4 linked regions of the Yarrowia lipolytica genome follow. The protein of the gene in region 1 purifies or fractionates together with the protein of each later gene. This does not show direct contact. Links are inferred from orthologs where the notes say so. Each region holds a gene or a part of one and is shown on either strand. Other genes may lie near its edges. The genes, in order: YALI1_F12013g, YALI1_B02487g, YALI1_A17570g and YALI1_E40361g.

Region 1 (8,373 bases):
CCGGTCGAGCGAGTCCCTAAGCGACGTCTGGATGGAGAGGAGACGGCCAAACCCGTCACTTCCGAAAACCAGACTACCACCGCCTTCTGGTCGACCAGCAAATACAGACCAATCATCGGCGCGGAGATTGTGGACGGCAACGAGCTCGTGGTGGTCGAGCGACCGGCGTTCGACATTCCTCTGCCCGCAGCCTTCTGGTCCAAGAAGAAGAAGCGGGTTGATTAGATGGACGAGACGAGCAGGAGACTTGGGTCACAGGTGTGTTGTATTTGGCATGAGAGGTCACGTGTTACGCCCGAGTGAGGTCACGTGTTTTAGCATGAGGTCACGTATCCGGTACATAGGGTACGAGACCTGTACAATCCAGTCTAGCGCGATACTTGGGTCCCCGAAGTGGATCGACTGGTTGGCATGGTGCATGGATTAAATAGATATTAATGAACTGTTAGATGGAACTGATGAGGTCGGAGGTCGGTGAGGGGGCAATTCGAGACCAGATCTGCCTTAAAGACCGACTTGTGGCACAGTATGTACTATTTACAAGAGACTAGGTACGTACTGTATGAGTAGGAGCCAGTTAGAGAGAATATCAGATCCTCGGAGTTCATTAGGGTGCTCGGATTACTGCTTGACACAGTAGTTGGGCGAGTGTTAGGTAAACATCTACTCGTTCTACAAGTACTTGTAGTGCTCAGCCCATACTCGCCATTGATGACATTTCGGTTCACCCACAAGTAGCTCTTTCCTTCTCTATGCAATTAGTATTTCTTTACATGGGTGAGTATTCTCATTCAGTCGCTTTGCTCAAAGTGAGTCTCTTCCTATCACTGGTGAGAGCCTCATTCAAGCGAGTCTCCTCCAACCACTCCGATCAAGTGAGTCCTATCCAACCATTCCGACCAAGCGTTCAGACACTCCGGTCAGGCGTTCACTCCGATCAAGTGAGTCTTTTGAGCTGCTCAGACGACTGGCTTCGCTCGTCGTCTAGTAATCTCTAAATACCCGAATCAAACCATCCAACCTGTTCATCTGCACCAGCAGCTTCTCCTCTCTCATTCTCAGTCCCTTGAGATCCGCCTTTTCCTGCTCGGTCAGAAATTCATCTTCGTGTCCCTTGACATCCTCTCGCTGCAGCTTGCTCAGCAGAATGGGCAGCTTGGCACGCTCGGCAGCCACCCGCTCGAAACAGCGCGACAAAGACTTGTAAATGTCCTGTGAAATGAGCGAGTATGCCCGGTTGGCTCTATGATGCCACAGAAAAATGGTTCGAGACGCAGCTCTGTCGGCGGTTCGAGGCAGCTCTTGCACGTCCAGAGCGCCGACAGAATGCAAGTCGTGCAGGTGGTTGAGAATCTCCTTAACGGGCAACAGCGCAATATTGGTCAGCAGCTTTTCGTCCACCTTGCCCTTGTCCTTGACAGCTCGCAGCAACCGCTTGGCCACGCGGCCGTACTTCCACTGAATGATCTGCTCGTATCGCGCGCCCCGCAGGCACTCGGTAGCCTCTTTGAAGTTGACGTACCACTCTCCTCCGCCCTTGGTGCCCACGCTCTGCACAAACTTGAGCGGTGAGGCTGCCAAAATCTGCATTTGTTTGGATACTGCTGTTGCTAAAGCAACGCCCGACAACTCCTCTTCCATATCTTCTTCAACGTCCACCTCCTTCTCGTCATAGTCTCCAGTCTTTGTATATCCCTCTTCAGTCTTGACTCGTTTGCTCTGCGGCCGGGGAGAAACGGATCGTGATCCCTTTCCTCGCGGTCTAAGACCGTCCAGGCGAGGATCGATTGTCTTGGCAATCTCCATCGACGTGATGTTGAATTCAGCGCCTGGAGAAGTGTCTTGAGTGCAAGAATGCAGACGGCCAACGTACTTGCTGAGACACTGTCTGTAGACCTCGGCCGCCGTCTTGCCACATCGCTCCTCGGCCAGCTTGGCCAGCTCCTCGTTTCGCGCAATCACCAGAAACTTGTCGGGATTGGCACACAGCACGGCCTGGTGGTCGAGCTTCTCGGCGCGGTTCAGGACAGGGACGCCCTTAGTTCGGGCCACAGAGCCCGACACAAATCCCAGATTCAGCGAGTTGCGCTCCTCCTGCATGCGCTCGAGCTCCGTTTTGGCGCTTACCGCAGCCTGGTTCTTTCGGGCAGACTCGGCCATGGACAGAGGCAGTTTACTGAGGTGGTCTCTGAACATGCGTGCGTAGAGATCTGTCTCGGGCTTGAACTGCCACGCCTGTACGGGCACCAGAAACCGTTTGCGCAGCATCACCGCGATACTGGCCTCCACGCTGTCTCGGTCGTGCTCGGGGGTGGCTTCCAGGTAGTCGGCCACCCGCATGTGTCCGTACACGAGCAGGTTCTGGGCAATCTCGGCACACCTCTCGCCCGACTCGGGGTTGCTTTTGCCGCCGGGGCCCTTGCCGAAGTCCTTTCGCACCGCATCCACCATGCCGCCAGCCCGCACCACCTGGTAAATCTCCTTCCAGTTGGCCACGTAATGGATGGAGCTGGACTCGCCAATGTCGTCTGTATCTCGCCCGGATTTGCGGTCGTTGGCCCAGTACAGCACAAAGCGGTTCTGCACCAGCGCCGCCAGACCACTGTGCACCGCTGACAGCGGCAGTTTGGTGGTTTTGGCGAGCTCAGCAGCCGTCTGACGCCCATAGTCCAGAAGAGACCCCACCAGAACCGCCGATAGCTCGCCGTATATGCCCTTGAGAAGCACGCGGCACAGATCGAACAGAGCCCGCGAAGACTGGTCCGGGTTGTGCAGCTCGCTCATAGTTGGTGTGTGTTTGTGAAGTTGGTTAGTAAAAAATCCCCCAGTAGAGTTCAACTTTCGACAAGATTTTTTTCACTGCATCATGCACCTATGGGTGGTGGAGGGGAGTAGAGGGTTGGGGTTGGGAGGCTGTTATTCGGGGGATTAAGGGAGTTCGGAAGGTTGTCGTGGACACGTGATCTTGCATGTGGCGTGTATTTTCCCTTTAATTGCACCGCTGACTAAACATGGTGGAGCCTACACTACAAGGACATGTAGCTATGGACATGTTGTTTAGGGAGTGTAAGATGGGATGTGAAAGGGGGATGAGGAAAACATACAACTACTTGTAGTATGACTGTATATTCAGATGACGACCAAAAAAATAGATCATATTTCTACGCTTTTCCTGTTTTTTCCTTTTTTTCCCCAAATTTTTCCATCTCAATCTGCCAATTCATCTCCCGTCAACTTTCATCACAGCGCATACAATATGCATGCACGTTCTTTTTTATATTTTATATATATGTTTTATATTTTTATATATGTTTTATATATTTTTATTCCAGGATGCGTGAGTAAAACGGGGATAAAACGGGAAAAAAACGGGAGTAAAACGGGAGTAAAACGGGAGTTAAAACGGGAGTAAAACGGGAGTAGGAGGTGAACCACGGGCTACAGGGAGGTCACGAGCTACAGTGTATTCGATATCGGGCTGACTTCATTTCTAAAAAGTCAGATTATGAGTGTCTGTTATATACAATATATGTTCACCAGAGTCAAGTCCTCCAACTGGCTGAATTTTGACCGTAGAAAGCTGAAATTTGACACAGACATACTGGAGACACAGAGCAGACGGGAACAGCGATTTCTCTCCTTATACATCTACACCAACGAGGTATACGACACCCCAAAACAAGCCACTTTCACAACTCTAACCACCTTGGGCATGCATGTTTGAAAAAAACAATCTATGGTGATGAACATGACTGGGTAGGGAAAGAATGGGATAAAAATGAGTCAAATCAGATTCAAGATTGGTATTGTCGGGGAACACGGCGGAGGGGCCCATGTGACCAAATTTCAGCAAGACCCGATCCAAGTAGCGCCCACAAGGGGGACCTTTTAGTCATACCGGTCAATGCAACTCCAGAATCAGAGGTGAACAATCAGAGGAATTGTTATAAGAAGATGTCGATAGAAATGTCTCCGTCCAGCCAAGTCGACGACATGTTAAACTCCCGAGAACCTCTTTCTGTGGCCCCATCAGGCTAACTTTGGATGCGGACTCAAATACAGTCACAACTCGTGTTACAGTAGTCAGAAACGACTTGCGAAAACACCAATGTACTCCCACAATTCCAAGGGTCACAATGGTATACTCAACTCGTCCTCAAACCGCCCTCACTGTTGCAGAATCCCCGTCGCCAATTGCCCTCGATCCCATTTGCCAACTTTGCATCAACTGTAAACAAACTCGGAGATTTGACAAACTTGGAGATTTTTTAGATGCACGACCAACGTCATATTGAGGGAGATACGGCGAGGCGGGGGGAAGAGGTCACGTGGATGGACAGACCACGTGACCATTGCCACTCGGTACACGCCGACTCCATAGCCAGAGTTCGTCTATTCACGTGATCTGTCTCAAATACTACGCTGCTCAAACGGCTCATAATTTTGTATGTACAATGATGATTTGCGTGATTCGAGTGATTCGAGTGATTCGAATGATTCGAGTAATTCGGAAACAACACCACACAGTGCACGATTGAGACGGGCGGCGCGGACGAGGGGCAGATCACGTGACCGACCGGGTCCAATTGAGCTCCGCTGGCGGAAAAAAGACGGATATATCTTGGCGACCGCGCGCTCCAGTCGTCTCCTCCTGGTCGATGGTCTGATGCTGAGGAGTCCCAACCACGCGCTGCCCTAACCCTCGCACTCCACAACCAATCAAAACCGACGCTTTGAATGTCTTTTTGGCAAAAAAGGTTAATGTGCGCTCGCACAAATCACACCCAATAGTCAGTTCACCAACCACCCAGAACTAACCCCTTCACAACACAACACCCCCCCAAACCCCACACAAAAACAACCACAATGTTGTCTGCCCGATCCTCCATGACTCGGGGTGTTCCCCGACTGGCCGTTGCCGCCCGACACTTCTCCACCGCCGAGGCTGCCGGCGTCAAGGTCGCTGCCCAGGACGGCCAGTCCCCCATCTCGGACCTGTCTGTGGTGCTGCGAGGTGGTTCTCGATACGCCACCGTGCCCGGCGTGTCGCACATTCTGGAGAAGTTTGCCTTCCAGAACACGGTGCCCAAGTCTGCTCTGCGATTCGTCCGAGAGCTGGAGCTGTTTGGCGGCAAGCTCTACACCCACACCACACGAGAGCACATTGTGCTGCGAACCCAGTTCCTCAAGCAGGATCTGCCCTACTTTGTCGACGCCTTTGCCAACGTGCTGAAGGAGACCAAGTTCCAGCAGTTTGAGCTCACCGAGCGAGTCGCTCCCGTGGCCGAGCTCGACCTCCTCAAGCGAGAGTCGGACCCTGCCTTCACTGCCCTCGAGGCTGCCCACGAGGTTGCCTTCCGAACCGGCCTCGGAAACTCCGTCTACGCCCAGGGCTACTCCCCCGTCACCCTCGAGGACGTCAAGGAGTTTGCCCGACAGGTCTACGCCAAGCAGAACGTTGCTGTTGTCGGCAACAACGTGGTCCCCGCCGATCTGCAGCAGCTGGTCGGCACCGCCTTTGCCGACCTGCAGGAGGGCTCCAAGGTGACCCAGGCCGGCACCACCACTCTCCACGGCGGTGAAGCCCGAGTCCGAACCTCCACCGGCAACGCTCTGACCATCGCCCTGCCCATTGCCGAGCCCAAGCCCGTCTACCACGCCCTGGCCTCCTTCCTCGGCGGCCCCGCCTCCATGCCCTGGTCCGTCGGCGCCTCTCCTCTCGCCCAGGCCACCGTTGGCACCCACACCTCCGTCAAGGCCACCTACCACAACTACGGAGACGCCGGCCTCTTCGCCATCACCATCAAGGGCGACTCCCCCGCAGAGATCTCCCAGGTGGCCCACAAGGCCGTCCAGGCCCTCAAGGACACTGGCGCCGAGGTGACCGAGGAGCAGGCTGCTCGAGCATACGCAAAGTCCAAGTTTGCCGCCGCTGAGGCCTTTGAAAACCCCGACTCCTCCGCATCCGTCATTGGCATGGAGCTTCTGTCCGGAGTCTCCCGAATCGCCCCCGAGAACGTGCAGAAGTTCACTCCTGCCGAGCTCTCCGAGGCCGCCGCCCAGCTGTCTGCCAGCGCCAAGCCTGTTGTTGCTGCCGTTGGCCAGGTCCACGCTCTTCCTTTCGCCGACGAGCTTTTTTAAGCGGTAGGTTAGCATAATAAAACTAGATATTGACGACCCTCTACTGGCGCGCAGTATCATCCTTGCGACGCTGTCACGAGCATGATCTTGCGGCAGTATATGGGAGCAGACGTAGACTACGTTGCGAGTGCCACGGTCACTAGTGATGTATGTACACGTAGGGTGACGATGTTATCGTAGAGTGATACCAGTGACGGGTCCGATGATACCGGTGACAAGAAAGAATGTGGTGGGTATGACCGCGATGGGAAAGAGTGTCAGGATGTAGTGTGGACTGTGTGTATCGTCATGAGATGCTTCCATGAACTACGCTCTGAAGTGGTCTTGTCGAGTGTTGTTGCAGGGAGGAAGTTCATTTGGAGACGAGAGATTTGTGGGAGAAGATAATAACGGGTTGATCTTGTTTCATCAGGGGATAGAGCAAGTAGAGGCGTGAGGGGTCTGTAGAACTGAGGGTATTGGTCTCATCGGGGGTATCCATGGTAATCTGGGTGTACCGTTCGACATCTGGCTTGTGTCTGGTGCCAATACTGACTATCATTATTGGAAATCTGATTGTGGCAGTGAAGGCGGTAGGGTATCAGTTTGTGGAGAACGAAGGGTGGCTGAGGGCTGGCTGTGATGCTGTTGAGGAAGTTGTCTGAAGAGGTCAGAGGAGGTCAGAAGAGGTCGACTCTCAACTAGTCGCTTGAAAAGCACATAGACAGTTCACTTCCGGTTCACTTCTGTTCACCTCGGTTCACTTCTGATACACTGGCGGTCAATATCTCAGTGTCTGTTGGCGAAGGTGCTGTGATTGGCGACTTGTGGAGTTCAGAAGGAGTCTGAGTGAAGGCCAGGGAGGCTGTCGTGATAAGGCTGGAGGCCGGATACATGGGTTGAGTGGAGTGGAGGAAGTTGTCTCAAGTTCCACTGAGATAATTGGATTGTTTATGGTCATTGTAGTACGAGGAGTACGACAGCCATAAAGGGTATGGATTGGTGTCGGTTGAGAAAGAAGAGATAGTATGAACCGAGGCCGAGGCACCAGGTGATATGGAGAGGTACATCTGCCAATTGAAAGGCGAAAACATATTGATATGAAGATTAGATGCTCTGACAATGTTTACTTTTCTCATATTGTCACTTCTCATACTCTTTCTCATGTTAACTTCTCACACTATTCACTTCTCATGTTCCCTCTACCATCTACCTCTCCTCAAAAGACTCAAGGATAACCTGGCCATGTTTCATCCCAACAACAAACGTCCTCACTCGCGGCTCTTCCCTCTTTTCTTTTCTCTTTCTCTTGCCATCCAGCCGCTCGCCAGAGTCATCTTCGGACCGGACCCCCGCCCCTTCCTGGGCCACATCTTCCTCCGGAACAAGGCGATTAACGAGATCCAAAAGCCGCTGACGTGCTGCCATGGGCGACATTCGAGAAGTGTAGTCTTCAAACTCCTCGGATTCCAGCAACGTGCTCGATAGGCGAGTTCTCACCTCGTGCTCATCCCTCTGAGTAGAGGCAGTGGACAATCTGCTGGTGGAGGCGTTCGAAATGGTGCTGGAGACGGTGCTGTGATTGGTTTCACTGGCCTCGTCGTCTCCTTCCTCATACGCATCAAGAGGGTCAATTTCCGAGTACATTTGACGACACGTTCAAAACTTTGGTCCTACACAAGACGCAAAAGAGTATCTACCAGGCAATATCCATGGCGATGGAGACATGGAGAGTTCAAAAGTGGGATTTATGGACATGGAAAAACCAGATTCGGGTGTTGTTCCTGTAATTGTATGGTTTCAAGTGCTACTTTATGGGGTTCAAGATGACCGTAGATATGCGCTGCAGAGTCATGATAGACATTTGGAAGGAAGAATAATCAAACGACGAAACTCGAAAAAACTAAAGGATTCGAATGATTGAGTTGTTTTAGTTCCTGAGACCCATTCAATCAACTGTTGGAGACTGCGAACCCTCTCACAAGTACCATACTTCCCTTCATGACCACATGGTGAACACAAGAAACAACAATATAGACCCGATGAAACACCCATCACCTTCCATCCACCACATCTTCCCATATCCAGCTAATAACGACGGTAGCAAGGAGCAATGAGCTGAAGAAACAACAATCAATTACATATAGTATGTACAAGATATGCATTATATACAATGTGGAAGAGAAGCGGCCACCAATAGCTCACTGAGTGGGCTCACTTATTGGCTATGCGTAGTAGACTAGATGGAGGATC
Region 2 (7,894 bases), on another chromosome or scaffold:
AAGCGTTTTTCTGCACTTGAATACTCTTATCACCGCCCTGAACTCCACACCAGAGGACGTGGCGTAATGGTAGCGCATTGGATTTCGGTTCTTCGTGAACGACGTCCTCCAAAGGCTGCGGGTTCGAGTCCTGTCGTCCTCTCTTTTTGCCCATATATAGTCTTCTTTTTGCAGATTCTGGTGGGTATTTCTGGTGGAACATTTTTTTGTCTGCTTATATCAGCTTACTAATCCAAGTATTTAATTGGGGATCAGCTGAACTTAGTTGAGCTCAATAGTGAGCTGAGATCTCTCAAGTTCTGAACAAAACACAGGGAAGTAGATGGTTTTTCATTGTCGTGTTGGTAAGCATGTCATACAGAATCAGACCACTTGTCTTACTACACACTCATAAAAAATACATATTCTAATGCGCCTCAAATTTCCCCATGGTTACCCAAAGATGCCATCTCAATGGCCAATTCCACCCTTCAAGTAAATATCAGTTTTAATTATATGCGCGTCGATTACTCGTCATCCTCGTCATCGTCGCCAGCGGCCTCGATGTACTTGTGTCGGATATCCTTCCATTGTTTCTGAGTTAGTGCTGTCCGAAAAGACGCGGTTGTTATAGCAAAACTGCGAATGTCGTCAAAAAACAACAGCAGTGGCCTCGTCCTCTTTCATTCGGTACTCGGGCTGTGCCCTTGTATCTCGTTAATACTCACGCCAGCGTTGATTCTGTCCCAGAAGTTGTCGATGGCAGTCTCAAAGGTCATGTCAAAGACAAAAGCGGAAGCCAGGATGGTGGCCACGAAGGCCGAGTTTCGCTTCACGAAAACGTTGTAGAAAGTGGTAGCCCAGGCCTGAGTTAGTATGTTGATAGAAGCGTTGATTGGGTACTTTGGGGTGGTTTGAGGTGGTTTGGGGTGGTTTGTACAGTTGAGCAAGATAATGGATCGACTGACATATGGCGAGCTAACAGATACGTCGTTGGCTGTCATAAACCACATTTCCGTCGTCCGTCGTCTGTCTCTATCGTCCGTCTCTGTCGCCTATCTCCGTTGCTTCCCTCTGTCGCTTGCTTTCTCTTCTCTGTCACCTCGTTCGTTCCTCCTGTTCATGTCGTGATGCGTCTGTTGTGCTCTAGTGTCCACCACCAATGTCGCGATCAATCAGGCCCAATCCACGTGATCTGCCCATGTGCCTGCTCCAACACCTCGCCCTATCGTCGCCCTGCTTTTTCACGTCCCCCTGGCCGGTTTTCTCGACTCACCATTTTGATGCTGTGTAATATCTCAATGTGAGAACGTGTGAGATGAGACTGCAAAGCTTCTTGGGGTCCCAAAAGCGCGGGGCGTGATTGGCTGGTGGCCAGAAAGCTTATTACGATGTCCAGTAGTAAGACGCTTATTGTGGGACGACGATCGGGGTTAGGGTAGAGAGATATTGGGCGGGTGGAAAATGTTTAGAGTTACGTCTGTGAGTTCGATTCTGGGTTGGGACAAACAGATAAATCATTGGGGTGCACAACTAAGGCTGGGCTGGAGGCCAATCTGTGTCCAGTTTGCACACCTTCAGAACGCAGAACGGTACACGAGCAGTATGGCGTCCCTCACAGGAACATATGAAAAGGATGGAGAGAGAGTGGTGGGTGGAACAGTGCGATCTGACGGCAGTGTGAGACCGATTGCCAAGGTGCGGCCTGGATACATTGCCAAAGAAGATGTTCCAAAGTACAAGCCACGCGGGGCGAGAGAACGAGATGCCAGGTTGGGCATCGTGTCTGCTGAGAGTCCGATCGCTAGGGTGGAGACCCAAGCAAGTGGTGCTGACGACAACAAGTCGGCTATCAAGGCCCGAATCCAAGCTGCGAAGGCCGAGTTTGAGAGAAAGAAGCGCGAGAAGGAGAAGGGGCCACGGAAGGAAGAGAAGCAGATGGTGGAGGAGAGTGTGATATTCGACAACAGCGGCAAGAGCCCCGATGATATCAGCAACATGATTGCCGCTGTTGATAATCTGGATATCAGGTCGACTCCAGACACAACAGCACCAACAAAAACTTCAACCACCACAAGCAAGCTACAGTCGAAACACAAAAAGAGGGAGGACAAGACGGAAAGAAGCGATTCGACACAGATACAGGTCGAGTCTCAGGCGGAGTCGGAATCCAAGTCTCAGGTCGAGTCCCCGACCAATCTCACTACCACCCCACAAAGTACTCAGAGGATTCCTCTCAAGTCCAGACATGCTAGAAAGGCAGAGTCACCCACAGAGGAGAAGAGCTCAAACAATGCCAACAAAACCTCCGGGTACATTCCTCCACACAAAAGAAAGTAAAAAAGTAAAAATAGCAAAATATTTATTTCTCTATATATACAAGTACATACTGCAGCATATCGTACTCGGCATGCATATATATTTGACATGCTTAACTCAATCCATCTTGACCGAATCACCACCACAATGCAATGTATACGCCATACGGAACGCCAGTGAAGAACCGAAACCAGGGCAAGGGTCTCCGAAACGACTTTGCGTACGATAAAAATGGGCTCCGGCGGTTCCACGGCGCGTTTGAAGGCGGCTGGTCGGCCGGCTACTACAACACTGTAGGGTCACAAGAAGGATGGACCCCGCGGCAGTGGAGCAGCAGCAAGGACAGCGAGAGGGCGACGAACACGATAGAGGACTATGTTGACGACGAGGATGACCACAGGGAAAAAAGCCAGCGCGAAATCGTCAACGTCGGGCCTGGAATCTTGGCTAGGTGGAGCGACCAGAAGAATGGCTCCGGCTCCGGCTCCATGAGCGCTTTTGAAGTACTTCCCGAGACGCCAAAGGTGTATCAGGGCCCAGCAGGTATTGGGTATGAAGCTCGACTGGTAGATCCATCTGAGTCAGCACTTCAAACCACTCAGATCGGAACCAAGCGACTGACTATGGGCTCCACCAACAAGACCATTTCAATAGTCCCCGGGTCTGGCAAAAAACGGCCCCTACTGCTGGAAGATGAGGAGGAGGACGAACTTTATCCCGTGACCAAGTCTCTTCCTAAGCTGAGGAAAGACAGGGAAGATACGGGCAAGCCAAAGAGTGTGGTGAAACATAAGTTTTTGACCGCTGCACAGAGACAATTGATGGGAAAGAAAAGTTCTGGGACTGGTTCTGACTCGACAAACTCGTTTACCAAGCCAAGAACGGTCCTGTGTTCAGATGGAAAACTACCACTTCCAGGATTCTCCATTGTTCTGGTGTCCAATCCCGTGTACAAACAATACGGGCTCCATTCTACTCCTGTGACCCAGCAAACACTGCAGACCCAAGTTGATTCGTTTCTGGACTCTCTGAATTTTACTTTGGCGTCAGAGAACCCCTACAAGTCGAAATTGGACAGCAAGTTCCAGCTGGCGGGGAGTGCTGTTGAGGGTCCGAAGGAGGCAAGTGCGAGGACGGTGGTCCAAGAGTGGGTGCCATCAAAGCTGCTCTGTAAGCGAATGGGCATAAGGTATGAGAAGCCGAGGGAGGAGGATGTCAGGGAGGTTACGAGAGGTGGATTTGGAAGGGAGAAGATAGAAAAGCTGAGGAGGTTGTTTAGCTAGAACATCGAGTTTAGCGAAGCACTAATCAATTGGATCCTGAAGCTCTGAATACCTACTCGGTGCTCTGAGAAACTGCACACCTACTCGGAGCTCTGATAAACTACACACCAGAGCTATGTCGGAAGTTGACTGAAACAACTATGAAACCAATGACCTTGTACCATTATCACGGGCGTTCACCAATACCAGATTAATTGGTTTTGAGGCCTTACACATGAGGCACTGGGAGAACACACGATCCCGGGACTGTCTCTCTCAGACATTAATCTGCGTCAAGACGAAGTACTAAAGAGCTCTAACATGTCACGGCAACCAACCCCCCGCATCTTAGTCATAAATAAATTACTATACAGGTTTTGTATCGTACACCTCGCCAGCAGATTCCTCAGGGGCGTAGCACAGCTCATTCCTTCCAATGTCTCCATCACTAATAAGCGCTGTTCGGAAACATCACTGCCTTCAAGTTGTTCAAAAACCCCTTGTCGTAGATGTTAACAATCGGTTTATGGTCCGTCAGCAAGGTCAAGGCGAGACCATTCTGGGCAACGTACTCCCGCTCCTCCGCTGTCAGAGATCTGTTCGGTCGTCCCTCCTCGTCTTTCTGCAACAAAATGCTTCGATCAAGCTTGAAACCCGGCTTCTGAAACATCCATACACTGCCCTCGGAAATGGCAGCATGGATATCGCCCCATTTATCCGTTTCATTGGTGGTGGCTCCAAGGTAAATATAGTAGAAATGCATCGCTGTGAAGGCACAGGCTAGAGCACCGGTAGACACCGACAGCAGAAAGATAATCCCCACCCGTTTGTTCTCATTGGTGATCATGACCTGCCACCATTGCGAAAAGATACTTGGCAGCGGTTTGGGATGGTCCTTGTACTCCGCGGCCACCATGACAATCATTTTGAGGCCTGCCAGAAGAGCTCCCCAACACAGGGTCCAGACATTGCCCAGCAGGAAGAAGAGGAACCATCTGTAGTTGTACAGACCCACCGTGTTGTTGATCCAGAGACAATAGTGGTCGAACTTGGCAACGCACTTGTTGGTGAACCGGTCGTGCTTGGATCTTGCAGGCTTGGTGAACTTGCACGTGCTACATTCTGTGTCTTCCAGGAACATGAGGTTGTCAAACCTGAACTGGTTGAGCAGCAGGGCGTGGTTTTGTTTGGTGATTTTGCCGGGGTCCGAGAAGGTGGCAAGTACAAAAGATACAACCAGAATCGTGTAGGCCACAGGCGCCAGCCACGCGTAATACCAGTGATTTTCTGCGATGAACGGATGCAAATCTTCATAGTAGGCAGAGAACATGTAGGTCGTGAAGGCGCAGTAGAGAATGGGCACGGACCATGGAGCTGCGGGAGCAACCACAGAGCCGCAGAAGTCGCCCACTACCGAGAGACGGCCCCCACAGTACTTTGAGTCCCACGATCTGATGGCTGCCGGACGGTTGCTGAGCCATTTTCGGAACTTCCAGACCGCAGTGTCCTCGAATTGAGGCAACGCGCCGAACAAGAACACAAACGTGAACACGGAGATGGCCAGGATCGAGAGTAGGTAGATTTTGAGCCACATTGTGCAATGTTGGGTGTTGCAATGTGCTGGTGGTGAATGTCGAGATGCGTCAGATCTGTTCACTATGCAGAGTCATGTGACCGAACTTGGTTGTTTAAACAAAACAAAAGATGTGCATTTTACTTGGATAAAATATACGGAATATGCGGGATATACAGAGGTTGTTCAAGGCAGAAGAAATGACGATAATTGTATCATATTGTACCAAAAATGCATGCTTGAAATGCTCATGGGTGGCCATATCTCCTTCCGAAGACAGGCGTGTCCTTCAGCTCGCTATGGAGGTGATTTGGACACTTTCGTCTAGAATAACAATAATAATCATGATAATAAAAGTCTCTCCAGCACCTCGTCTTAACTGCTACTTGTAGTAGGTATTATTTTATGTCGTATCGAAGTGACAACACGACCGATTGGCCACCCAAAAGTACGTCACGGGACAACGCCGCTCTAGTTATCTTTGCAGCCATCGAGGGAGAAAGTAAATGCCACCTTGTGGTCAACATTCTAATGGGCTTAAAATGGCCTAATTTTTTTTCTTTCCCGAGTTGAGCAAGTTCATCTGTAGATCTATGCTGTTGGTGATGTCACACTGTACTGTAGTTAGTAATAACAATAATGTCAGCGGTGCTGGGTGACTCCTTCAACACTCGAGATGACTCGCAGGAAGAAAGAGACTCATTGCAAACAACCCGACCAGTCCCACACGGTCGATTTTCCTCTATTTTACTCTTTTTCCCGGAGAATTTCTTTTCCCATGATTCAACTTCGAGCTATTTCCTTTTTTTCTTTTTTTTTCCTTCTTTCCCCTTTTTTCCCTCTTTTCCCTTTTTTTCCTTTTTTCCTTCCTTTTTTTCTTTCTTTCTTTTCTAATGATCCGTTTTTAATTCTAAAGATCACCATTTTGGGACGTCCCAGCTCGTGCACCTTTAGCCCCGATCAGGACCTTAGACCACTACAATAAGCCCATACGTGTCCTTAGCGGGTCAGGAGTTCGATCCTCGACCGGAGTGGTTTGGTTTCTCACCAATTCGCGTCATTTCGGCGCTCTTGGCATGTCACAGCCGGTTATATATAGCTCAGCCAAGATTCACCCTGACAGCCCGAGGCAGCCATTCCGGAGAGAGATAGGAAAAAAGAGAGATAGAGAGAGAGCAAGTTGAGTACAGTGCGAGTGCAAGTAGCTACCGGCACGGCCTGAAGGAAAAAGGCTACATCAAAACCGTGTCCTTTACGAGATCCACAGCTACAAGTTCTGCCACACTCTGATTTCATCCCATTACTCCGAAAGCTGTATCTCTCTGACATAATTTTTTAATTTTTATTTTTAATTTTTATTTTTTAAATATTTTATTTCTACAATGTACAGTACTGTAGTTAGTTTTCTCCGTACTGTACTGTACTTGCCCTTGATGTGGTATATCCAATAAAACAGCACTTGATACAGCCTGAGAGCTACAAAAAAGCTGTCAAGACTATCATATCCATCCTGGACCATTCTAGACCTGTCCAGACGTCCCCAGACCACTTCACGTGACCGCTATCCTCCTCTCCACGTGACCTCCCACTCTCAATGTGTCCCGGTATATGTTATCCCCTCTGCGCTATTACATGCACCATCTGCATACTCCCAATCACCACTATCGTGCAGGACTCCACTCGGTGAACACCACACAACTGCAACTACACCTTTTGAGCTACTCGTGCCAGTGGAGCCATGTCGTTTCTCACCTCGCTCAAAAACAAGGCGCTGGAGCTGTTTGAGCCGGAAACCTCGTCCGGCGTCATCCAGACCGCCGCCGATACAGCGCAATTTTCCGACTACAAACGCCGACTCAACAAGGACGAAAAGTTCCGGCTTCAATTTAGTCTGCCGGACTCGCAGAAGCTGCTGGCGGATATCAGCGTCGAGGTTGCGCTTCAGAACGCAGAAAACCCGCCCGTCAACCCGGGCCAGGCGGCCCGCTCGGAATCTCTCATTGAGTTCTCCAACGTCATCTACCAGGGCAAGCTGTACCTGTCGGACTCGTTTTTGTGCTTCACAGCCACCGACGCGCGTCAATGCTCGTTTGCGCTGCCCCTGCTGACGGTCAAACGGGTCGAGCGACTCCCGCTCAAGTCGTACCTCTTTGCGCTGTCCATCAAGACATACAACGGCCTGACGCTCGTCATCCAGTTCATCGGCATCAAGTCCGCCTGCGACCGCTTTTCGCTCGCCCTCAAGGCCCAATTGGGCAAGAACCTTGCCAAGATCAAGTCTCTCAAGCCCTTCCTCGCCACCCTGTACTCGGAGTACTTGTTGAACGTAATTTCTTCCGGCCAAAAGGGCGACGCTCCCCCTCCACCACTGGGAGGTCTCGGACAGGTGTTCCGATACCCCGGAGACGCCAAAAAGCTGCGGGATAAGTCCAAGATGCGCCTGTGGCTCGAGTACTTCCAGACGCATGGACGCAACCTGACTTTGGTGAGACAACAGACCTTCTACAAACTCATCCGAGTGGGTCTGCCCAACCGACTGAGAGGCGAAATTTGGGAACTCACGTCGGGGTCGTTGTACCTGCGTCTCGCCCACCAGAGCATGTACAACGACCTGCTTGAGGAGTACGAAGGAAAAACTTCTCAGGCCACAGAAGAGATTGAAAAGGATCTCAATCGATCTCTGCCGGAGTACTCAGCTTACCAAGACGAGGAGGGTATCGCCAGACTGAGACGCGTCCTCACAGTGTACTCCTGGAAGAAC
Region 3 (8,310 bases), on another chromosome or scaffold:
ACGTGATAAGAAGCATACGACACCATAACACGTGACACAATGGACAGGCGATACAACAGCACCGAGCATCTGATATGATGGGATATGATGGGGGCACTAAACACAGTGGGACGTGACTCAATTGCCCACGCGCAATCACTCAAGTGAAAGTCCTCTGTCTGGCATGGTCACAATTAGCATAAGGCAAGAAAGACCGTCCATGCAAAGTCATCTCTTGTCTAGTACTGTCTACCAATGGTATGATAAGACTTGTTTTTCATTTAATTAATGAATTGTATGTTACTCTACACTCTTGTATATACTACATGCTATGTAGAAGGCCACACCATCGCCGATTCAGAGAAGGATAATATAATGACTATTAGTCGTACAAACAATGCCAATCGAATAAGAAAGCCTCTATAGAACCGACTGGTGGCTCTTTTCTATCAATTGCTATATCAATATTGGAGACAGGTAGATGCGACTATAGTGGAAATCGTAGTTGGTATTAACAGAACCCAAGTACATACGGTACTGTAGTTGAAAGCTATCAATTGGAAGATATGGACGGGTTTCTAGAGCTCATGAAATTGAGAAAACGGCCTCTCATTTCTATATTTCTATACTTGTTCACTATTCCTTTGACCAGGTAGATGACAACAGTCTAAACTGGACTATATCGTGAAAAAAACCAAAAGACTACATCACAATACTTTTATTACAACTAATATACACATCCCCCTTCTCTCAGAATCCGTCCTTCTCGAATTGGTCGCCTTTCATCAACTCCTTGATGCGTGCAACATATGCGTCGAACAAAGGATTTTGGACCACATCCACAATGTGGTTCTCCATAGCTTGCGTGTCAGTCAGCCATTCGGGGTCCTCGGTCTGTGTTCCTCTGCTGACCATCCCATTCCCGCTCCGAACGTCTGTATCTGCAGGGGTAAAGTGCTTCTTCCACGACTTGGCTCTTTTCGGAGAGTTGGGGGGCGAGCTGACAGGAGAAGCCCCCAAAGAAGGCATATCGTCAACGGTGCGTTTCCACGTAGAAGTCTCAGAGAATCTCCTTGGCTGCGACAATGGGGTTGGCTTCACCGGCAGATAGGACTGCGACGACGATGGTGCTAGCCTCGCAGACCGAGAGTGCTTGAATTGGTATGGGGGAGATGCTTGCGACGAACTGGGGGGATCAACAAAAGTCTGGCTCATAACTGGAGGCTCAGTAGCTGGACCAGGAGGTTGGGTGGGAGAGAGGGTTTGAGACTGGAGAAAGGGATCAATCTGGGTGAGGTCGCCATCATCATCTTCTCCGTTCCACTGAGACTCTGGGTTGAAGTTTTTGAAGGAGGTCAGGGTGGCACCTTCAGTCCTGGTAGACTTGGGAGGGCTACCCTTGATACACACTCCCGCCTTTGATAGCATTTCCACTGCCCGGTCGTATTCGTCCATGTACGCGAATTTGATTTGAAAGCGATAAGTCTTGGTTAGCTGGAAAAGGATATCTCAGGGTATCATGTTAGGGTATTGCTGCGTTGGCGTTGAAGGTATCAATAATATTGTAATGTGGACAACCACTTGCGTCGCTCATTCGTAACCGACTCGTGGAACACTCACCATGGTATGGAATCTCCTCACCAAGTACTTGAAACCAATCCCTGGCGGTCTACAAATGGCCACAAACGGCGGGTTGTTCTTTCCGTAGGTGGATCCGAACCGCTCCTCAATCTCGTCTGTGTCAACATGCTCCAAAGAGGTGTTTTTGTATTTGAGGGAAATTTTCGCGCCCCCGGCGGGCGTGGTATCAATGGAGAGCTCTAGGGGCGAGTTTTGGTATTTGGTCCATTCGGACGCGTCGCGGTCAATGCTGCTGCTAGCCAGTCCCTGCGGAGTCGGCGCGTTTTTGTGCAGATAGATGTATTTGCTGATCCTGAATGTCGCCATGGTTTTGGTGGTATCAGTGGAGAAAAAGGGGGTGGAGAAAAGAGGTGGGAATGAAATTTCGGGTTAAGATGAATGTTTTTTTTTTTGTACATGACAATGTGCATGTTGTGTGGGGTTAGAGTTGGTATTTAAACCGCGAGATGCCCACTCCCTCGACTGACCCAGACGATTCTCTCAATTGGTCTCAGCGGAGGAGGTGGCGCTCCCAGCTGTGAATGGTGCTATACAACCTCGGGGTTGGTTCCACTTCCTCCAAGTCCAACTTGTCACTGGCTGACTCAACGAGGGTACTTAGCTTCACAGTCCTTCCTCCAGTCCTTCCTCAGTAGATGGACACCAGAAGACACCATGCCAGTCGCGGCTTACAAAGCAGCAGATGGAGTCAAGAACACTCCAACGAATACTGTGCTATTCAGTGATCACAACACAGTCCAACTGTCCTGGTCTATCTACAGCACGCGCACTTGTTGCCTGTGGTGTACCCGTACAGTCCGAGGTATCATTCGCTTTCTTTTACATCCTGTCACGCCCTCTACAGACCAATCTACAATCCTGGCAACTGAGAACTCAATCTCAATCTACAATCCTAGCTACAGCTCAGTCGTCATCCTAAGCTCACTGGAAAGTCTTGGGCTTCCTCGGTGACCTCGGTGACTCCTCAATGACTTCCTCGTCAACGTACTCAAACTCATACGCCCACTCACAGGCCGACGGCTTTTTTCTCGTCGGCCCACGCGTGGACTGCTTCGTGTCAATTGTTTTAGTTCATTAACTATGCATCTAGTTCTTGGGGGGGTTGTAGATAAACTTTCGGTTCTTGATGGGGGACCACTTGAACTTCTTGATGTAGACCGACAGTCCAAGCATGGCGGAAATGACAATGATGGCCTTGAGACCAAGCTTCTTTCGCTCGTCATGCTCAGGCTCGGCAGCCCAGGTCAGGAAGGCAGCGACATCCTTGGCCATCTGGGAGGTGGTGGCGGGAGTGCCGTCCTCGTACTCGACAACACCGTCGAACAGAGTTCGGGCCATACCAATGCCTCCTCCGGGGAAGTAGGGGTTGTAGTTCATTCCGGGGGCGAGCACGACGCCGGCAGGAGGCTCGTCGGGGTAGCCGGTCAGCAGAGCAAAAATGTAGTCGGCACCTCCGTGTCGGGCCTTGGCAATGAGGGACAGATCCGGGGGAAGAGCTCCCTGGTTGGCGGCTCGGGCAGCCTGCTCGTTAGGGTAGGGGCCGGGAATGTAGTCGGCGAGCTTTCCGGGTCGCTTTCGGGGGTTACCCTCATCATCGGGCTCGTCGTCGTACTCGAGCTCCTCAGCGAAAGCCTTGGCCTCATCGGTGGTGTGGGTCACGCCCACGAGGTTTCGCCAGGCGATTCGGTCCAGAGAGTGGCAGGCGGCGCAGACCTCCTTGTAGACCTGGTAGCCTCGTCGCAGAGAGGCGTGGTCAAAGGTGGAGAGCATGCCATTCTGGGGCCAGGGGTACTCCGCTGGGTGGAGACCGTGCTCAGCGGCGGTCATGGCCTCAGCCTTGGTTGTGTAGTAGTAGGTGGTGGTGGCACCGGCACACACGGCGGAGGAGATTCCGAGCAGGGCCTGTCGAAGGGGGATTGCTTTGAACATCTGCGTTAGTATGGGTGTGTGATGATTGTTGATGGGCGGGTTTTGATTGGTTGGGACGGGGCAAGTGACGCAAGACCGGGGTGACAATGAGACCCACAGACGTGACACACGTCGATTCTCGGGCCACACGCCAATTCGCCGTCGTCGCATTTCGCTGCGAATGTAGTTTCTCGGTCGCAATGTCGATGCTCTTGTTGCTGCTGCAGTTGCGTTGGGTGTGCTGTCCCACATTGTGGTCGGCGTGTCGCACTTTGGGATCGATCCTTGTCGTCATCTCTCCTCCTCACCGACACGGAATCGCGCCACATGCCCAGAGTCGTGGTTTCACCTGGCCTTGTCGTCCCAGTCCTCTTTTCCTTTTCTCCCTCTCCGTGTCACTTGTCTCGTCTCTCCTTGCGGTAATACTCAGAACATGACCACCTCAACACCAGTGCCAACACCACCTGGACCCACTGGCAATTGATCGGTGACATGGCTCCAGTCGTCGTCCGCGCCCCAGCGCCCCAGCGCCCCCATTGCCGATACTCACCCTGGATATCGGTTACAAAAGTGGTGACAAACCTTTTGATGGAAGAGTGTAGCAGGCCGAGTTAACGTACTTGGGTGGTAAAAAATGCGGGAGCAGGATTAAGCGCACCTGTGATTGGCTGATTTCTAAATGTGGTTTGGGACTTGTGTTGTCGTGCAAAGAGGGTGCTGCCATTGGTCTTTGGAGTTTAAACGGGGCCAAATGGGGAGGCCGTGGGTCTTTGTGTCCCCACAAATTTATCTATATAAACCCTCTTTGCGCCCCCGAATCGACCGCCGCCATTGCCCACTCCATCACCCTCTTCCTCTACACCCATTCCACCCTATTTTTCAACTCCACTCAAACACGCCAATTTCCACCGCCTTTCTCCCAACCAATGACAATTAGCGTATAATAAAAGAACCCTAACCCATATGCTCGCCGGTTGCCCAATATGACTTTAGCCTCGAAACCATAATATGGTATGATCTGGAGGCGTTGGATATTGTAGGGGGACATGAGACTGCAACGCCGAATGACACAATGTCGAGCAAACTAACTCATAATCTGAATTGTAACGAACGAGGAGTTATACAGGTCCTAACCTGTGCTATACAGCTCCCCCAATAAAGTTCATTAACAGCTCATAATCTGTACAATCAAAGGTTCAACCGCCCAGTCCATGCATGCATGTCCTCATCGACATTTACTATTGTACATTTCATATACAATATTACAATGTTGCTCTCCTTAAACATTGCCCGTTCTCAGGACGATTACTAAGCCGACTTATTGAACTCTATTTCTGGTTTTCAAGCACAGGTCGCCCAAAAGAACAAAATATAATTTCAGACTATTTCTTAAACATGACGAAACTTGACATTTCTGGTACCGTTCGAATCGTACATTTCTCCCCGACATCGCCGCACCGTTCATTTGGCCCCATCTCGTGTTCCCGAACACCTGCCCCATTTACCATTGTCACCACAAAAGCTTATTTTCGGGAAAAGTTTATCCAGCTGTCATAATATCCCAGGACTGTGGAACCCCCTTCAAACCAGCACAACACGGTATCTGCGGCAAATGAACAATAATGCGCCGGCCATCGTGCGGTCGCTGGCTCTTTTGAACTCGCTTCGAGACCGCACCGATCTGTTATCGCGGCAGCTGGAAGATTTGACGTCCAAATGCTCCTCCGACCCCGACGCGTATCCTCTGTCTTCACTGTCGGTTCGACGAGAGATATCGAGCATCTACAACCAACTGACGATGCTGCAGCACAATAGTGCGGTGAAAGCTGCTGACGTGGCCCGTTTGGTTGAGGGCGAATTGGCTAAGGGCCGCCAAGCTTTACGCGTTTTGGCCAGTGGAGAAGATGGAGACCAGGTGGTCCGAGAGGCGGACACGAGCGACACAAGGGACAACCACGACATACATGGAGTACGCGCACAAAGACAGGATACACAAGGAGCTATACCCCAGGTTGCCTTTGAACTTCCACCGGAGGTTTTGAATGGAGACACCAATGGAGTGTTGGAGGAGGATGACAGGGGACATGTTGAGAAGGAATTGCAAGCCTCGTCGGAACAGGAGTTGGAGGAGGCAGAGGAAACAGCTACTGCAGCAGCACAATCGGAACAGACCAACGGAAGTGTGCAAGAGGTGGATGAGCCTGTGGAGGGTGTTGGGGCTGACGAGGAGCCAGTTGAAGAACCAGTTGAAGAACCAGTTGAAGAACCAGTTGAAGAACCAGTTGAAGAACCAGTTGAACAGGTTACTGAAACCCCAATCACGGAGGAAGTGCGGTCACCGAAGAAGAAAAAGTCCGGCAAGTCGCTAAAGAAGAAGGAGAAACGGTCAGAGGCGTTACCCGAGTCTCCGCCAGACAGCATACCCGCGTCTCTTTCTGTGAATTCTCCCCCCCCAGCAGATGTGTCAGCTACAACCGCATCGGAAGAAGCTATTCCTCTGATTCCGTCAACGCCTCCAGACGACGAGGACAAGAAGCAGCACAGCAAGAATTCTCGACGCCGCAAGCGCGACAACCGCATTTTGCATGAGCTCAGCTCGTTGGATATTGTCAATGTCAACGAGGAGGCCTCCAAGAGAAGGAAGAGAAGGAGGTCAGAGGTAGAAGTGGAGGAGAAGGAGAGTGTGGGTGGGGAGAATAAGCAGGAACACGAGGAGGAAGAGGAAAATGAGGAGGAAGAGGAAAATAAGGAGGAAGAGGAAAATAAGGAGGAAGAGGAAAATAAGGAGGAAGAGGAAAATGAGGAGGAAGAAGAAAATGAGGAAGAAGAGGAGGCCACCGAAGAAGGCGAGGTTGAAACTACTCCTGAAGTGGACACTGAAGCTCAAGATGAAACGGTTCCCTCTCAATCAAAAGTCCCACCTGTGGCTGATGATGTGGTCGCTTCTCCTCCCGCAAAACGCCGAAGAACAAGGTCCCAGAGCTCTTCCAAGGAAAAGCCTCTAAACCCTATTAAAGAGGTGGTTGAAGAGGCGGTCGAGGAGGATACTAAAGAGGAGGACAAGGAAGGTCTTGGAGAGGCGAAATCCACAGCAAACAGACGATTGCCACCCCCTACACCGCCCGTGGAAGACGTGTTTTGCACGTGTCGAAAGGGCTCGCAGGGCCGCATGATTGCGTGCGACTCGCCAAAGTGCAAAACGGAGTGGTTCCACATGAAGTGCGTGGGGCTCAAACACCCACCTCGAGGCGACTGGTACTGCGACGCGTGCGCCAAGATCCGGGCTGACCGCAAGGCCCGCAAGAAGGAGCTGGGTGCAAAGAACAAGATGTCGAAACAGGCTAAAAAGGCCCAGGAGGAGGGAACCGAAGCATCTCGACCGAGGCGGACGAGGAAGAGGTAACTTCAGTGTCACCGAGTGCCCACACCAGTAGTTTTGGCCATGAGAACTGCTTCAATACTCACCGCTCGCGCATCCCACATATTTATTACCATCATTATAAGTTATATTAGTCTAGTTAATTTTGATTGAATCATCTATCCAATATATTAGTGTATATAAGCAGAGCGCAGGTGCCGGGCTGCGATGTATGGTGCGATTATTTGCGTTGTATAAAACGTCGAGCTGCACAATTACTCGCTCAGCACATGGTATTACTGCCACATTCCGGGCTCACACATGTACAACCACGAGTAGGCGACAAAACTGCCACACACGCCTATGGCAGAGTACACGGACATGATCATGAGACCCAGAAACTCCATATTGGGTCGTCCGTCCAGAATAACAGACAGAGCTACCACGGGAACAAATCCCATCTGGTAGAAGAAGGAGGCTCGGTCAAGCAGAAACTCGCGCGTGGTGATGCTGTTGCGGTGGTCCGACACCAGCCGGTGGTTGAACCACAAAAAGTACATACAGAACCACGCAAACGTGTACAGAATCTTGACCATAAACTCGGCTGACGTGTAGATGAGCGGGAAGAGCGAAATGTAGCCGGAGATGGTCAGGGGGATGAACACCAGCAGCAGCCGCTTGTCTCGTAGCACCACAAACGTGAAGGGAATAATGATCATCAAGATGGCCTTCTCATGGACATGCCATCCAAACAAGAATGACGCGTACGCGCAGTAGGTGATGGCACCCACAAATCGCGCGTACGTGGGTTTCATCAGAAGGGGCCCCAGACCCAGGAGCTGGTAGAAGAGGGTGAGGAAGAACGTGGTTGAAGGAGACACGTTGGGCAACACACCAAACGCAACGTCTCCCACAATGCCTCTAGTGCCTCCAGAGACGGCTCCTCGGCCCTTCATGACCGTCACAGCCACCTTGTCTGCAAACGAGTACAGCGCCCAGAAGTTGGGGGCCCAGTAGGCGTGGGTGAGTCCTCGGGAGAAGGGGAATAGGCGCGACTTGAGATTTTCGAGCTGTCCAAATGCCACAAACGGCCCGAAACAGACAGTGAAAGTGCCCACAACAATGAGACCGAGCAGCACGGTGTCTCTGAAGTTGATTCTCAGGCTTTTGAACGAGTTTCCGGGGATGACCACGACACGAAGAAGATAGACAAAGTAGGCCGGCGCCAGGTAGAGGTAGATATGTTTGAAGCACAGCAAAATGGCAAACAGCGCTCCGCAGAGGAGCGGCTGGCCGTTTCGAGCTGCCACCATGCTGGCAATCATGATTCCGTACATGAAGCCGTTGTACTGAAAGTGGATATGGTCGATGATGAGCAGTCCGGGAGAGAGCACGACCGAGGAGGCGACGGCAAAGGCCCGCAA
Region 4 (7,845 bases), on another chromosome or scaffold:
CGTGACTGTCGGAACAGGCGTCCAAAGGACATTTTTTGTTGTCAGATTTTTCGATGTATCCACCTCGGTTTTTTTCCCAAAGGCTGTTCGTTTGACCTTCGGTGATGTTCATGCATGTCAAGGTTTGGCCCACTAAGGAGGGAGACATGGGGCTGGGGAGAGAAATGGGGCGTGGAAAATAATGAGTGAGGGAAAAACGAGGGTCAAAAGCGACAAAAATGGGGCACATTTGAGATGTTAAAATAAGTGTATAAAGATAGACATTATATATCGGACTGGAAGAGTAAGAAACGTGTCTCTACGATACGCCCCAACACCCAACTCACGTGATGATAAACTCGCTTTACAGACTACTACAGAACATCGAGCTGTCCACGTCTCCTCCTCAACACTGGGATATGCAGACATCCACGCCCGTCACGTCCATCTACCAGCGCCAGGAGGTCATCGGTCGCGGCAACTTTGGCGTGGTCTACAAGGGCTACCACAAAAAGACCAAGCAGCTGGTGGCTATCAAGGTACTCAACCTAGACACGGCAGAGGACGACGTCAAGGAGGTCCAGCATGAGATTCAATTGCTGAGCCAGCTCAAGCTCGCCGACGCAGAAAACATCACCCGCTACCATGGCTCGTATCTCCACGGCTCGCGTTTGTGGATCATCATGGAGTACTGTGCTGGAGGCAGTGTGCGCACTCTCATGAAGGCAGGCCGTATCGAAGAACGACACCTCAGCGTCATCACACGTGAACTGCTCATCGCTATCCAGTACATGCACAAGGCTGGAATCATCCACAGAGACATCAAGGCCGCCAACATTCTCATCACCCAACAGGGACGTGTTCAGCTGTGTGATTTCGGAGTGGCCGCGCAATTAGTCTCCTCCAAGACTAAACGGTCCACTATTGTGGGAACACCCTATTGGATGGCTCCGGAAGTTATCACAGAAGGAGCATCATACAACGTCAAGGCAGATATTTGGTCGCTTGGTATCACGCTCTATGAAATTGCAACAGGCTCCCCTCCCCTGTCCGACCAGGAGGCAATGAGGGCCATTTTTCTGATCCCCAGAAACAAACCCGCAAGATTGGAAGGATCCCAGTACTCAGCGGCCCTCAAGGAAATTGTCGCACTATGTCTGGACGAACTGCCTGACGAACGACCCTCAGCAGAGGAGCTGTCAAAAACCAAGTTTGTCAGAGGCTCAAAGGGTATCCCAACATCGACCATCAAAGACCTCATTTCAAGATATATGCACTGGAGGGAACACAACAAGTCACGTGATTCGATGGCTGTATATAACCGGCATTCCATTGGGTCTGAAGAGGATATTGTGGACCATTCGGACGACTTTCGGTGGGACTTCGACACATCCACTGCGCCTGATGATGCTCGTGTGGAGGTTCATAATGGCCAGATGGACTTCAGGCCAGAACCCACACATGCCTACAGAGATATTGGCGAGATGGGTACCCAAGTCCTGTTGCAGAGCACTGTCTCTGCCTCTGAGGTCTTGGAACAGAGATATGAGCAGCAGCAGGGACTACAACAAGGCCAACTACACGATCTTACGACAGCTACTAACACGATGACTGTGCCTCAGGAAGAAGAGGAGCCACATCCACTTCTGGAGCTGTTTGTGGACGAAAACGAACCTCCTGCCCCTCCTGCCCCTCCTGCCCCTCCTGCCCATGCTCCTATGCCTGCTCGTCCCGAGCTGTCTTCCTCAATGTCTCTACCTACCGTTCCCACTCAAAAGACTCAAATGGCGTCTATGGCTCCAACTCTCAACGATCTAAGAGAGGAAGGCGAGCCTCCAGGGGTACCTCCCATGGCCATGTCTCGTCGTAAGACTCTTGGACGGGGTTCCAAGATGGGAGCTTCTCCCGAGAAAGATCATCCCCAACCTCCTCCTCTTCAGCATTCACACAGTTTCGCACAGACCCAAGGCCAAGGTCAGAATCTCAATCAAACCACCCATTCAGGCCAGGCAACTCACCCCGGTCTAGGAGGTTTGCCTCAAGTGCAGCAGCCGCCTCAGCTACAGCAACAACTTCCTCCTCAGATAAAACAGCCCCCTCATCAAATACAGCATCCACAGCCACCGCTGATGCCCCAATTGCATCAGACAATGCCTCCTGTGCCTCACACACAACCTCCTCCCTCTCAGATGCCGCCTCTCCCACAGCAGCAGCCTCCACAACAGCCATTGGCTCCCCCACCTTTAATGGCACAGGCTCCGCCGCCCCCGACACCAATGCATCACTCCTCCGCGTCGCTGGCCGCGGTAGCAGCTGCGAAGTCAGCTATCAATTCGGCCAACCCTTCTTCTGGGGCATCTCTGGCTGCCCCTCATCAGGTTTACCCCAAGAGAACGCCCTCTCCCATTCGGGGCAGTCCTCCACCCGTGAAACGGCCTTCCAGCCCTCCTCCGCAGTTCCACAGACCCTCTATCTCGTCGGTGTCGTCCATCTCATCAGCAGCAGCTTCTCCCTCTGCAGCTTCGCCTGTGATGAGCCACAAGTCGTCTGTGTCTTCTGAAGACGGCGGCCATGCTTCTCCTCCGTTGATACCTCGTTCCGAGAACCCCCAGCTGGCTACCCGGTCAGCTTCTGTTCCTGACGTGGTTATGCCTCGCTCAGACGTTAATGGAAAGTCCCCTGCGTTCAACACCGAGAAGCCCGCCAAACTGCGAAACGTCAACCTGCAGATCAAAATGCCTCCGGCACAAGCCCCGCCCATGCCCGATGCATTCATGACCCCTGCCCGCAAGGAAGACTACACGCCCAGTCTTAATGTTCCGTCTCAGCCTTCGTCGCGTCGTCCTTCTCGGGCTGCCCAAACCCAGCCGCCCGTTCAATCCACTCTGCAGTTCCCTCCCATTCCCAAAATTGATCTGTCGGTGCTGCTGGACCCTGCTCCTCACGCCGATGTCACTCGGGAGCTGGAGAAGCTGCTTACCTCTTTTGGAGACGCTCTCAAGGTGATGGAGGACGGCTTCTCATCACTCTAAGCATTTACTCCCCCACGGTATTAATTATATAGCCTGCTAACATTCATTAGATGATAAGTGAACGATTTACAAGCTAGTACAAGTAGTTGGAGTAGGATATGATTGTGTGGAACTGGCGTATTTCCTATCCTCTGACTAAAACGAGTTACCTATTCCTAAGTCATTTCTCCATTAAATTGTGTGATCCTTAGTTTGGAAATTTGGTTAAAACAAATTTAAGTTTTGTTCACACAAATTGACCAATATTATGATCGGTGATTCGGACAGTGCGTGAAAATCGTCCCATTTGTAATAAGTAATCAACCACGCAACAGTGACCCTAAAGACAGCAATTTGGTCAGCACAAACGGGGGCATTAATTTTAGAGAGATTAATGCGTCAATGCCAACAGAACTCTCAATACGCACCAATCGTTCTGTGTTCTAAACCCCTTACAATCTTCAACACTACATGTGCCAGATACAATACACGGACTACAAGTACTGACATCCATACCTACCCTCTCGTACCTAATAATCATGTATTGTTAGAGCTTTTATGCCTACTTTCGCTTAACAACCTCGAGGTTGTCAAGAGCATCCTTCTCAAAAGCCTCAGCCTCAACGTCGAGGATGTAAGGAATGAGGTAGTGGTCGTCCTCCTCAGGCTTGGTGATGTCGTTACCAGTGGCAAGCTTGTGAGACAGAGAGAACTGAGTGGCTCGGATGAGTCGGTAGACTCGGTCGTAAGACTCGGTGGGAGGGAGTCGTCGGAGAGCGAGCTGCATGTTGGGGGTTTCCTCAATGATCAGATCGTTCATCCTGGGGTTAGTATTTGCTCACGCACAAGTTGATGCACACCCATCAATCAACAATTCCAGCAATATCTACAGTTGAGCGTCGGGGGATTCCTTTCTGAGTCGGTTTTTGTGGTCTTCCAGTGTCGCTGTGTCACTTCCGTATCAATGGTGTTTTGACCCTGAAATATCTCTTACGTCGTCGCGTTTAAGGGCACATTTCGCGTGTCGTAGAAACGCAGAAACGCCTTGAAACTGGTGTCGCAAAAGCCGAAATCGTCCATAATCTTTCCCATTCACTCGTACTGTCGATGCTGCGCAACTGTCGTTGGGGTGTGTCGCTGGAGGGCGTTGTTTTCCTTGATACTCACTTGAAACCAAGCTGTCGGTATCCGGAGAACTTGACATAGGTCTTGGCAAGAGGAACAACAATCTTGCTGAGGAGAGGAGACTTGAGGATAAGCTCGCTAGTCTTCACGACGGAGGTGATTGAAGCCATGGTTGCTGTGTTGTGTAAGTAGTTGGTGCACTCTGCGATCTTTTCTACACTCAAAGTGTATTTCCACTGGTCAGGATTTTGTCCTTATTCTATTGGCTAATGGCCCGAGGGCTTGGGAGGATGCAGTGTGCAGGTTTTGCGGAAGTCTCCCCTAACCCTGTTCGCTGTGTTGGGACAAGTTCTAAGCACGTGACCTGAAAAAATGTTGACTCCACTCATTCGGCTCGTAATTTCGAAGAGAATACAGCACCATGGTCATTTTGCTCAATTCGTATGTGTCAAACGTCCTCATCTGCCACCTTTGCCTTCTGGATCGACTGCAGCCAGCGTCCTTATCCCTTGCCTGCATGAGTGTCCACTGATAATGATACCACACCAGAAAACAAAGAGGTAGGCGTGTCATTCTCAACTCTAATGTTGATTAGGTGCATGGCAGGGCGGGTGTGTCCCCCCCACTTGTCGCTTCAGGTCTACTGACTAGCCACGTCCCAAAAGTATATAAGGAAGCCCAATCGCGCTCTTGCTGTCTTCTTCTTCTTCTTTTTCTTCTTCAGAAGTCGATCCCTCCGCCGCCAGACTGGCAACTGTACCGGTTGTCGGGTCCTTCTGTGACAGTGCTGAGCCCGCTGAAAAGCACCAGGCTCCTGTCAAGGCCTTTCCAGGAACGAGCTTGGCCGCCGTACCTGACGTAATACTACCTGACCGAGTGTGGTCAGCAGAGTGCTTTGGGAACATGCCCAACTGGAGTCGCTAAGAAGCTGCGCTCTGGGAGTTTACCGGTTAAGAGCTGTGTTGCAGCCCCTAAGGGAATGTGTCTAAAAAATGACCTTACCATAGCGAAGAGCGATATGATGCCTGAGCCCTGTGAGCCAGAGCAGAAGTGCCACCGACCGACAGAGAGAGAATGCCTTGAGCCCGTGTCTCGACGCGTCTTCGAGCCTGTGATCTCGACCGACTACCAAGGGGGAGGAAGTTCAGCTATGCTAAACCCTGGAGCCGGAACTTTTTACAGAGGGGAGTGCCGCTTAACAATGACCGAGCAGAGAGCCGTTTGGAAATGAATGTGCCGCCATAGGGAGCCAAGTCGTCGAGAGACCGCCAGTCAGAGGAAGCCAAGATCTAGAAAGACGCCATATCAAGTGATTATAAGAGCCACCAGCAACGAGAGCCGCTATAGAGAGATATTTTGAGTCAAAGACCCATTGCGAGAGCCCGAGTGTCCGTGCGAGAGAGAGCCATGTGTGTGTATGAGCCTGAGAAGCCGAGTCCGAGAGTGCCCGTGGGAGCCCCAATTAGTTACAGAACCGTACAAGTACAGAGGGAGAAAAAGAGCCCGAGTCCGATACAGAAGACCAGAGCCGCCAAAATTGATATAGCCAAGAGCCAGAGCCCGTTAGATCATTGAGAATCGAGACGCTGCCCGTGCCGCTTTTATACAGAGGAGTCGCGAATCCGGAAAGCAAAGAGCCCGTTGCCCTGTCGGAAACACAGAAGAGATAGTTGTAGGATAGGAACTACTCAACTCGCATTAGATAGTATTAGGAGGACGTACGCTGGTACTCAGCCGAACCTCCGGGGTTAATACGATTGGACCATCGAGTCCCATCCCCTATATTTGAGACTTGTAGTGTGTATGGTTGTAGAGTAGTTAGTTGTACTTGTAGGAATTGTGTGTTGTGAAGATTTGTAGCAATCTCTCAACAGGAACACACGTATCCTTTACGGTACTTCTGGGCTCTATCCACTATGTACATACTGTAGTAAGGTTCTTATCTGCGATGGGTCTAAGAACTCTACTTGTAAGATGAGCTATATATTATTACTAGCGACAGGTAGCTACTTTCACATCATTAAATGTGATTCTGGAAGAACTCATGGGGCCTGAGGGCGAAAACCTTGCCGTAGATGTCCATGTTGTTGGAACCCTTGATCTTGTTCCAGTAGCAACGCCAGGCAGCGCACTCTTCCTTGTGGGAGGCTTCCGTCTTGGGACCCAGAGAATGGTGCCCATCAATGTCGCCGTTCTTGATTTGAACAGTTTGAGCGTCAGTATATGTAAGAGGCAGAGTCAGCGTCTTTAATCTTGCTGTCCCAGATCAATGTTGTCAGTAGAAACAGTACATTGGGTACCAATGGCATTGATTCGGGGATATATATTAGCAACAATGGCGATATCCCCACTGGCGCAGATATCCTTTGCACCAAACTTTTCAGCGTCGACAGAGGATTCACAAGATAATCGACATGGCCCTAATCTCGACAGTTCGAACGAACAAGTACAGTGCTGTAGGGCTTCTCGAGGTATCGGCGCTCACCGGTAAACTCGCCCTGGAAGGAGACCAAGGCAATGGTGCCAAGGCCATCCTCGGCTAGTTTCTTGGCGTAGGTTTCAGTGGTTCGTGGTAGGTGAATGCTACCGCTGGCGTTTGTGATCTTCATCTTCGATCTATTGTCACCTGCAGGCCCTTCATATAAATGATAGCCCAAGTTTACAAGGCTTACTACAAATATCAAATGAACCACTTGTATAAGCAGCACTTGTATGTACTGTAGCTACAGTATACTGCAAAATCCGCTCGAGACAGTCTTATAATACAAGGTTTCGATAACAGGCAGCCGTTGGGTTAATTCTATGTAGTGAGGTGATTAACGATTAAGGCAGGCGGGGAAAGAGTTAGAAATGTTCGTTCATCCCCATGTGTCAATTCATACATAAGACCACAGTGGAACCCCTGTCATTCACTCAATCCATCAATACAAACTACACTACCGACTCACAACAAGAAAAATGTCCACTCAGAAGAACGTCACCTACAAGAACCTCAACGGCAACGGAATCACACAGTCAGCCATTGTCTTCTTCCCTCCCAACTTCCAGGAGTCTCAGAAGTACTCTTCTATCATCGTTGGCCACCCCGCTGGAGGTGTCAAGGAACAGACTGCCAGCATATACGCCGAAAAGCTTGCTGCAGGTGGTTTCGTGACCATTGCTTACGATGCTTCCTACCAGGGAGACTCCACAGGAGAGCCTCGATTCCTCGAAGACCCTTACATTCGAACCGAAGACAATTCTGCAGCAGTCGACTACCTCACGACCCTGCCTTATATCGACAACCTGAACATTGGTGTCCTTGGTATCTGTGCCTCTGGTGGCTACGTCGTGAACGCTGCCATCAACGACAAGCGAATCAAGGCTGTCGGTACCGTGTCTGGTGTGAACATTGGAAACATGTACCGAGCGGGATGGACCGGGGATGCCTCTGGCGTCGCTCTCGCTACCCTTCAGCTGGGTGACCAGGCTAGAACCGACGAGGCCGATGGCGGAGAGACTGCCTACATGCCCTTTGCTCCCGAGAAGGTTGAGGACGCCCCTGTCCCTGAACTCCGAGATGCATATGACTACTACCGAACATCCCGAGCCCAGAAGACTAATTGTCCTTCCAAGTTCACTGTTAGATCTATCAACCAACTTGTCACCTATGACGCCTTCAACCTCGCTAAGGACTTTCTTACTCAGCCCCTTCTCATGATTGCTGGTAGCGAGGCCGGAACCAAGTTCT

The links.
Region 2: the proteins of YALI1_F12013g (region 1) and YALI1_B02487g purify together in Saccharomyces cerevisiae (affinity purification with western blotting; 3 studies listed by BioGRID, with this or other methods). This does not show direct contact. The link is inferred for Yarrowia lipolytica from reciprocal best matches to the Saccharomyces cerevisiae genes QCR2 and QCR9.
Region 3: the proteins of YALI1_F12013g (region 1) and YALI1_A17570g purify together in Saccharomyces cerevisiae (affinity purification with western blotting; 4 studies listed by BioGRID, with this or other methods). This does not show direct contact. The link is inferred for Yarrowia lipolytica from reciprocal best matches to the Saccharomyces cerevisiae genes QCR2 and CYT1.
Region 4: the proteins of YALI1_F12013g (region 1) and YALI1_E40361g purify together in Saccharomyces cerevisiae (affinity purification with western blotting; 4 studies listed by BioGRID, with this or other methods). This does not show direct contact. The link is inferred for Yarrowia lipolytica from reciprocal best matches to the Saccharomyces cerevisiae genes QCR2 and QCR7.

Annotation. Positions count from the first base shown.
Region 1 is NC_090775.1:1,197,797-1,206,169, reverse strand, and holds YALI1_F12013g (uncharacterized protein), read left to right. Parts: upstream 1-4,866; coding exon 4,867-6,141; downstream 6,142-8,373. Other genes in the region: YALI1_F12080g (uncharacterized protein), read left to right, coding at 1-225; YALI1_F12052g (uncharacterized protein), read left to right, coding at 275-414, 796-851, 905-945; YALI1_F12033g (uncharacterized protein), read right to left, coding at 985-2,784. UniProt on the Saccharomyces cerevisiae protein: Component of the ubiquinol-cytochrome c oxidoreductase, a multisubunit transmembrane complex that is part of the mitochondrial electron transport chain which drives oxidative phosphorylation.
Region 2 is NC_090771.1:248,191-256,084, forward strand, and holds YALI1_B02487g (uncharacterized protein), read right to left. Parts: upstream 1,259-7,894; coding exon 1,256-1,258; intron 846-1,255; coding exon 708-845; intron 576-707; coding exon 507-575; downstream 1-506. Other genes in the region: YALI1_B02496g (uncharacterized protein), read left to right, coding at 1,444-2,319; YALI1_B02506g (uncharacterized protein), read left to right, coding at 2,451-3,581; YALI1_B02533g (uncharacterized protein), read right to left, coding at 4,009-5,154; YALI1_B02550g (uncharacterized protein), read left to right, coding at 6,872-7,894. UniProt on the Saccharomyces cerevisiae protein: Component of the ubiquinol-cytochrome c oxidoreductase, a multisubunit transmembrane complex that is part of the mitochondrial electron transport chain which drives oxidative phosphorylation.
Region 3 is NC_090770.1:1,753,206-1,761,515, forward strand, and holds YALI1_A17570g (uncharacterized protein), read right to left. Parts: upstream 3,781-8,310; coding exon 2,707-3,780; downstream 1-2,706. Other genes in the region: YALI1_A17546g (uncharacterized protein), read right to left, coding at 730-1,434; YALI1_A17551g (uncharacterized protein), read right to left, coding at 1,570-1,926; YALI1_A17583g (uncharacterized protein), read left to right, coding at 5,141-6,931; YALI1_A17622g (uncharacterized protein), read right to left, coding at 7,183-8,310. UniProt on the Saccharomyces cerevisiae protein: Component of the ubiquinol-cytochrome c oxidoreductase, a multisubunit transmembrane complex that is part of the mitochondrial electron transport chain which drives oxidative phosphorylation.
Region 4 is NC_090774.1:4,032,360-4,040,204, forward strand, and holds YALI1_E40361g (uncharacterized protein), read right to left. Parts: upstream 4,286-7,845; coding exon 4,158-4,285; intron 3,812-4,157; coding exon 3,553-3,811; downstream 1-3,552. Other genes in the region: YALI1_E40324g (uncharacterized protein), read right to left, coding at 1-32; YALI1_E40327g (uncharacterized protein), read left to right, coding at 330-3,011; YALI1_E40394g (uncharacterized protein), read left to right, coding at 7,074-7,845. UniProt on the Saccharomyces cerevisiae protein: Component of the ubiquinol-cytochrome c oxidoreductase, a multisubunit transmembrane complex that is part of the mitochondrial electron transport chain which drives oxidative phosphorylation.